Linked DNA regions of Mus musculus. The protein of the gene in region 1 interacts with the protein of each later gene in a pairwise test. Links are inferred from orthologs where the notes say so. Each region holds a gene or a part of one and is shown in the gene's direction. Other genes may lie near its edges.

Evidence for each region. The genes of interacting proteins can lie anywhere in the genome.
Region 2: the proteins of Dazap2 (region 1) and Tle1 interact in binary tests that used the Homo sapiens proteins (3 or more experiments, as listed by UniProt). The link is inferred for Mus musculus from reciprocal best matches to the Homo sapiens genes DAZAP2 and TLE1.

Annotation. Positions count from the first base shown.
Region 1 is NC_000081.6:100,614,214-100,618,659, forward strand, and holds the start of Dazap2 (DAZ-associated protein 2), read left to right. Parts: upstream 1-1,448; 5' UTR 1,449-1,498; coding exon 1,499-1,511; intron 1,512-1,836; exon of another isoform or gene 1,837-2,109; intron 2,110-2,699; coding exon 2,700-2,818; intron 2,819-3,711; coding exon 3,712-3,957; intron 3,958-4,446. UniProt on the Homo sapiens protein: In unstressed cells, promotes SIAH1-mediated polyubiquitination and degradation of the serine/threonine-protein kinase HIPK2, probably by acting as a loading factor that potentiates complex formation between HIPK2 and ubiquitin ligase SIAH1.
Region 2 is NC_000070.6:72,120,894-72,124,393, reverse strand, and holds part of Tle1 (transducin-like enhancer protein 1), read left to right. Parts: intron 1-1,902; coding exon 1,903-2,050; intron 2,051-3,500. UniProt on the Homo sapiens protein: Transcriptional corepressor that binds to a number of transcription factors. Inhibits NF-kappa-B-regulated gene expression. Inhibits the transcriptional activation mediated by FOXA2, and by CTNNB1 and TCF family members in Wnt signaling.

The DNA of each region.
Region 1 (4,446 bases):
AACATCCTTTAGTTAGCGCAGCCTAGTTAGGGGATGCTCTGTGTGCTGACAGGAAACCAAAATGGAAATACTGACCCGGAACCTGGGAGGCCGAACACAAAACTCAAGTCTGTAACCTGTCCTTTAGATCAGTTTTTCTTTTCTTCTCGAATGTTTATTTTTATATGTGTGTCGGCGTGAACCCATGACACTCATGCGCAGGTCCCCAGGCTGAACTAGATCAGCCTCTCAGGCTGCTGTGCTTGCCGACTGGACGAAACTGCATTTACAGGACGCCACGCAAACTGTTAAATAGACACCTGACACACAAGCAAGGCCTTCGGTGTCGGACGAATCAGGAGTCCGTTCACCAAGGACCTCTCCCTCCAAAGCCTGCCCATCTACTTGACCACGCACAACACGAACTTCTGCAGACAGCTGCGGCGGTCGGTTCCTCTGTGCATCTATGAGAGCGCGTTCGGTTGCTCAGCAGATATTCTGGAACGAGGAAACGGGAAAAAATGTGATCACTGTCCTAAGAGACGTCGTCGCTACTCTTCTGGACAACTGAGCGCGGGCTAAACCACTCACAACATCTGTAGGGAGTTTTCAGGTCCCCGTAGGACGTGCCAGGCCAGGGTGCAGGTGCTGGCTGCGTCCCCTCAGCTTGTGCTGGGGCACGGTCTATCTCAGGACAGGGGGCGGGGCGCGGGGACACGGTCCATCTCCGAGCACGAAGCCAGGCGCTGGGCCCTCAACAAGAGGCCTGGAAGGACCAGAACGGCGGACAGGCTAAGGTCTGAGGTCTGGGCTGCGTCTCGCAGGCACTGTGGAGTCGTGACAGCCTGTGTTCACACCTGAATTTGGTGAGCAGAGGCGACTCACAGTGAGGAAGTCGCCCTGAGATGAGCTGACTCCGCTTTCTTTAGGGCGGGGCCGCGCAGAAAGGAGGAGCGCGCGGTGAGGGAGGGGTCGCGCAGGGAGGGCGGGGCCGCGCAGAAAGGAGGAGCCCGCGGTGAAGGCGGAGCGTTCAGGGAGGCGGGGCTAGCGGTGCGGTGAGGGCGGGGCCGCGCGGGAAGGAGTGGCTCGTGATAAGGGCGGGGCGCACGGTGAGAGCAAGGACCGCGGTGAGGGCGGGGCCGCGCAGAGAGAGCAAGGAACGCGGGGAGAGCGAGGAGGGCGGGGCCTCGCAGGGAGGGCGGGGCAATTAGTGAGGGCAAAGCGCGCGGTGAGGGCGAAGCCGCGCAGGGAGGGGCGGGGCCGAGCCCAGAGGAGGCGCGCGCCGTGAGGGCAGAGCGCGCGGGGAGGGCGGGGCTTCCGAGCAGAGCAGGGCCGCGAGCGCCCTCCTTGCCGCGACTGGCCGGCCTGCGAGGGGGCGGGGTTTCCGGCGGCGGCGCACTCGGGCATCTCCTGACGCAGAGTGGACGAACGTCACGTGACACGGAAGTGACTCCGAACAGGAAGAGGACGAGAAAAATAACCGTCCGCGACGCCGAGTGGGAGCGGACTCAGAGCCACCATGAACAGCAAAGGCAAGGCCGGGAAGTGGCGGGGGCCGTCGGGGAAGCGGGCGGGTTCGGGTCGAGCGGGCTGGGGGACGTCGGGCCTGGGGCGGTCTGTGCGGCTCTCTTCAGCGGGCCGCACAGCGCGGCCGCACCTGACGTGGCCGCCCCCCTCCACCCCCACAACGCAGCCGCTCGGCCCTCTGGGCCCCGACCCCATAAACCGTGTGGCGCAGTTTGGAGCCGCGGGCTCCTGTGTGTGGGGTGGGGGGGCTTTTCCGTGACGGACAGCGGCTGGAGCGAATGGCGAGCTAGAGCAGGGATTTGGGGAAGCCAATGGAGGGCGGGCGGAGGCGGGGCGCCGCGCCTCGGAACAACAGGCCTCGGCCGAGCTTAACTGCTGAGGTGCCGGCTCCGCTGCACGGCCCAGGCCCTCGAGGACCCGTTCTCGCCCGCCGGGGACTTCTGGCGCTTCCTCCTCGGGGCCCGGACTCGTAGCCGCCCCTGTGCGTTGCTAATGTTTGTGAGAACATGGTCGCGTTCCCCACCCCTCCACCCGCCGCCCTTCTCACGGTTAACTTCCAGTCACTCACTCTTTGGAGGTCGACCTTGACTAGGAACCCGTGAGGTAAACACTGAGAACCGTGGGTCCCACAGAGTCAGGACTGGTTACAGCACAGCCCGGGGGAGATCACCCAGAGGAGTCCCCTAAGACACCAGCAGTCCGGAGACCCCGGAACGGGTCCTCAGACCTGCCCTCTATTCGAAAGGGAACATGGCCAAGTTAGCCTCCATCAATCAGTATGCTAGTGGGAACGGCGCCTTCTGCCCAGTCAGAAGCCAGCACCTTCGGGCGCGAGGGTGCCGAGACCATCCTTATTTTCCTGGCTCTAAGAAATAAGGCAGCCTTATTTGCAGCTCTTCTGCTTGCTCCCCACCCTGTGCACCCTGGCCCGTCTAGTAGCTCTGCTTACAAACTTGTTTTTATTCAAAGTGTGCCTGCCTCTGCCTGTGTAAGTGTCTGTGAGTGTGAGTGTAGGTGCCCACCAAGGCAGAAGGTAGCGTTGAAAGGAGGTTGTGTCATATGTGGGTGCTGGGAATAGAACTGGGGTCCTCAGGAAGAGCAGCACTTTGTCTCACACACTGAGCATCTTTCCTGTTTGCCACCTCCCCTCCTAATCTGACAGACAACATCTCTCCTCCCCTTTTGTATTCCAGGTCAATATCCAACACAGCCTACCTACCCTGTGCAACCTCCTGGGAATCCAGTATATCCTCAGACCTTACATCTTCCTCAGGCTCCACCCTATACTGATGCTCCACCTGCATATTCAGAGGTACTGCAGTTTCCTAGACTTGTAGCTAGTTGAGAACACTCTTGGATCCCCTTGTTAAGTCTTCAAATCTGACTTCACAAGCAGAAGGATGCTCTGTGAATCATCTAGAACTTAAGGTGAAAATTACCATTGGAATTGAATGCAGTATCTGATTATGCTATTTGACACATGCTGACTTAAGCTGAGTTTGGGTCCCTTGAGCACAATAGTAGCTGTGGACGCAAATGACTCAGAATACTGTGTGCCAGTGACTATAACCAGTGTGTAATCTGCAAACACAAGAACTAGGAACAAGGGGCTAGAGAGATGGCTCAATGGTTAAGAGCACTGCTTTTCCAGAGGTCCTGAGTTCAAATCCCAGCAACCACATGGTGGCTCACAACCACTGGTAATGAGATCTGACACCCTCTTCTGGTGTGCCTGAAGACAGCTACAGTGTACTTACATATAATAAATAAATCTTAAAAAAAAAAAAAAAAAAAAAAACAACTAAGAATGGACTCATGAGCCATGCGTGGTGGTACAGGCGAGTAGTCTCAGCATTGAGAGGCTGAGTCAGGAGGAAGCTGAGTTCAAGGCTGCCAGTATAACCAAACCCCATTTCCAAAACCAAACAAGGGGCTGGGGATGTACCTGATTTGGTAGAATGCTTGCTTAGCATGCACCAAGCCCTAGATTTGGTCCCTAGCACAATGTGAACTGGGTTTGGTGGCACAGGCTTCTAATTCCATAGTCAAGAGGTAAAGCAGGAGAGTCAGGAGTTCAAGGTCATCCACTCCTACATACTTGAAGGCTAGCCTGAGCTACAGGAGATGGTCTCAATAATACTTAAAGAGATTCCAAATAGGAATGTCACAAAAATAATGTTTTGCTTTCTCTTCTGCTTCTTTCAGCTCTATCGTCCAAGCTTTGTTCATCCAGGGGCTGCCACAGTCCCCACCATGTCAGCTGCATTTCCTGGCGCCTCATTGTATCTGCCTATGGCCCAGTCTGTGGCTGTTGGGCCTCTAGGCTCCACAATCCCCATGGCTTATTATCCAGTTGGTCCCATCTATCCACCTGGCTCAGCAGTGTTGGTGGAAGGAGGGTATGATGCAGGTGCCAGATTTGGAGCTGGTGCCACTGCTGGCAACATTCCTGTGAGTATGCCTAACTGGGAGCTCAGCCCTTGTATACTTGAACAGTCTGAAATGACTTCATATTCATTCTCCAACCATAGTGGTCAGGGCTGGCACAGCTGCTGCCCTCTCAGAGCAGAAATGTGGCCGGGCCAATCAGGGCATTGGACACAGCCCTTGGTTTTAGAGTTAATCAGGTTGATTTGTTTTCTTGTCTTATTAAATTAGTGGCATCTTCCTTTGATCCTAGCACTTAGGGGCAGAGACAGGGGGATCTCCGAGTTTGAGGCCAGTCTGGTCTACAGAGCGAGTTCCAGGACAGCCAGGGCAACATAGAGAAACCCTGTCTATAAATTTAAAAAGACTGCTAGCTCCTTTTTCAGTTGTTCAGGCACAGTGAACTGGTCCAGGGGTGCTGCTTGGTGAGTTCATAAGCATTTAATATTTGCCATGAGTGGGGAATGTACTAGGAACCCAGATGATTAAGAAAGTAGAATGCACGGTCCCTAG
Region 2 (3,500 bases), on another chromosome or scaffold:
TCATTCCACTTGGAAGCACATGGGCCTCTGATTGGCTTCTAGATCCTTGCTCTTCCCTCAGCAGCTAGTCTGCTTCCATTTAATGCACATACTAGAGTCATTCCAGAAACTATTTCTAAGAGTAAGCACTTAAGTCAAATGTAGCCAACTTTTGGGAGGTAGAAATTCGGATTTTAAGATAAGGCTGTCTGTACCTCTGTCCTCTCTACTTTATAGATGAGAGCCGAGGCAGAGAAGTTCCTTGTCTCTAGTCCTTTAGTCAGGCCTGCCATTCTGCTGGTGCTGGCTCTCTGGAGTCATGTGTGTGTGTATGTGTGTGGGGGTGGGGTGGGGGGCCGTGTTTTAGCCTGGACTGGCCATGTGTGGCCAGTGGCTGCTCTGTGAGAGTCCTGTATCTTCTAGGACACAGCGTATTCTCAACAGTCAACAGCTTGACAGTCACTAGGACATGCATGGAGGGCGAGGCTGGAGGAGTGCTGATTGTTCACAGGGAGAGATGTTTGGAATAAAGAACTAATAACTCTTTGAGTTGAAGGAGGTGATAAGTCAGGATGAAAGATAAAAGTTGTAACAGTTGTTTGAATAGACAAAAGGAAGAAAGGTACAACAAAGACTCCTTCATTCCAGGTGATCATGGAGAGGCCAGGTAGCACTCTTGAGGTCCACTTGCTGGGCATCAGCAGGGAATTCTGGCCATGCGGGAGAAGGGGACTGGTAGGGACAGGAACTAATGTAGGGGTTGTGCTTGGGAGGGAAAGGTTTCTGGCTCATATCTTGGCTAAGAATTCAGGGCAGCGATGGTAATTTTTTTTTTCCCTTTCACTTTCAAATTCTAAGCTTGGTGCTCTGTGGTAATAGGGGATGGGGGACCTTCTTGACATTGACGTTTCTAAACAGTTCTATTCTGGGTCTTTCCTGGTTCTGAAGGTGGGTCCTTACCTCTCTGATCTGCCCTGGCGAAAGCGTGCTCAGCATGTAGAGTCAAGTTTCTGAGAGTCACTGCATCACACACACACACATACACACACACACACATCTGCTCAGCATGTAGAGTCAAGTTTCTGAGAGTCACTGCATCACACACACACACACACACACACACACACACACACACACACACACACCATCTGCCAACCCCAGACCCCACTGTGCTCATGTTCTCTCCACTGAACTGACTTTGTTGCCTCATGCCCTTCCAGGGGTCAGAAATCCTTGCCACCCAATTGATTAGGGATGCCCTTTGAACATGGTGTGAAGGTCCCGTGTAAAGAAAGCCTTGTACTGGGGCTGGGAGCTGGCAAGTGTCTGTCCTCCTCAGTACTTTTCTTTGTCTCTACCTAACTCCTCTGAGGTCAAGAGGCCTGCTTGACCCTTGGTCTCTGGGAGTCCACATTTTCTCATGCAAGGCCCTTGATGATTCAGAAGGGCTGAGTTCACACTGTGCTAGCAGGAAGGGCCCTACTGGAAGATTATCTTCTAAATGAATGTGTTCTTGGAATAAGCCTTTGACTTTCTGTGGGTTCAAGCCTTGGCCACTGAAGGACTGGTCTTTATCTTTCCTTAAGGAAATTGGGTTTTGTGTGTTTATCTTTATTGTCTCTTAGTACTTAAATTCTTTTCCAGACCAGGGAAGAGTTTCACTGGGTCTGTTTATCAAGAGGCCATAGGATACCTGGCTTCTGGCAGCATCCTGCAAGCCAGTCCATTTCTTTAGGCCTTGGATCTTGAAAAAGGAAACAGAACCTGCAGGGGCTGTTTCCTGTGCTCCTCAGGGGAAGGTTACTTTGATACTGCACACCAACAAACACTGACATGACACAGTGAGTCCAAAACCAACAACACAACAGTGTTTACCTTGAGCTCTGGCAGGAAATCATTATTCAGTCTGGTTTGTTTTATCAGGCAATTCCAGGGCCACACAGACGGAGCCAGCTGTATTGACATTTCTAATGATGGCACCAAGCTCTGGACAGGCGGTTTAGACAACACTGTGAGGTCCTGGGACCTGAGAGAAGGGAGGCAGCTGCAGCAGCATGACTTCACTTCACAGGTGAGTGCTTGGCTCTGGCCTGCTGTGGAGTCAGAAGGGGTCTGTGGATCGGTCTCCCACCTCAGCATCATGCAGGGTACCATGATAAGCAAATGTGTTTAAAACCATAGACATACAACACACACACACACACACACACACACACACAAACACACACACGCACACACACAGGGGATGGTTACAAAGAATCCTGTGAGTCAAACCATGTTGAGATGCTTTATGTACACGTGGTTTTGGTGAAAGGAATTTATACAGTAGAGAATATACAGGTTTTCTTCAGCAGGATGCAGTGTTGTGTATATTATCACCATCAAATGCAGAAGGAGAGTGAAATGAATGTTAATTTGTTTCAAGGAGTCTAAGAACATGTGGATACCCATCTCCTTTCTTAACCTTAAAAAACAACCATGTTGAAGTCCCAACACTGAGGGGGCAAGTGGACTCCTAACCAAGAAGCTATTTGCAGTTGATACCCACTGGTAATGGAAAATCAGTTTTCTCCAGTGGAGGGTCATTAGGTACCTCTACTACCCTCTGGGCAGGCCCCATACCTCAGAATAATTGACCAACATAAACTCCATGGGGCATTGGGAGATAGGGGGCTTTTTTATGTTCTTTTGTTTGCTTTGGGGTTTTTGTTTTGTTTTTGTTTTTGGTTTGTTTTGATTTGTTTTTTTTTTTTTTTTGACTTACTGATGTTTTTCTTGTTTGTATGTTTGTGATAGAAGGGCAGGAGAGAGAATATAAAGGTGGTTGGGTAAGAAGGTGGGGGAGGGGACATGATTAAGATATATAATCATGATCAACTAGATCTATAGAAGGCTTTTGAGGCTTGACTCTAACGCAAGGCAGTCCTACTACTTCAGCCTCCACAATACTAGGATTAAAGGTGTACACCACTATGACTGAGTAGAGTTTTAAAATAATATAAAACCATACAACTTTTGGAGAATGTAGACTTATTTGGCAGAAGCAGTTCTCGCCCTTTACTGGTGTCTTCCTCTCAGTAAAGTTGTCCTTCTGTGTATTACTCACCCCCCGCCCCCACTTGCTCATGATATGGTTTTTTCTTTAAAGGTAATAAAAACTTAAAAATCGGGTAAAAATGGAAAATAACTACATATATTGTTTTAATTTCCTTCTGTTCCTCTGATAAGATATGACAGAAAGCAACTTAGAAGAAAAATAGTTTATTTAGTTAGCTATTCCAGATCACAATCCATTGTTGTCAGAAAATCACATTGCCTCCATAGTCAAGGGGCAAAGAGGAAGGAAGTACTCACACATGCTGGTACAATATCTGTGTTCTTTTCATTCATTCCAAGGCTTAGCCTGTGAAGGGGTAACACAAACGTGGTGGGTCTTCCCATTTCAAATAACCCAACTAAGAAAACATTTCACAGGCTTGCCTACAGGCTGACCAATCCAGGTAACTCTTCATTGAAATTCT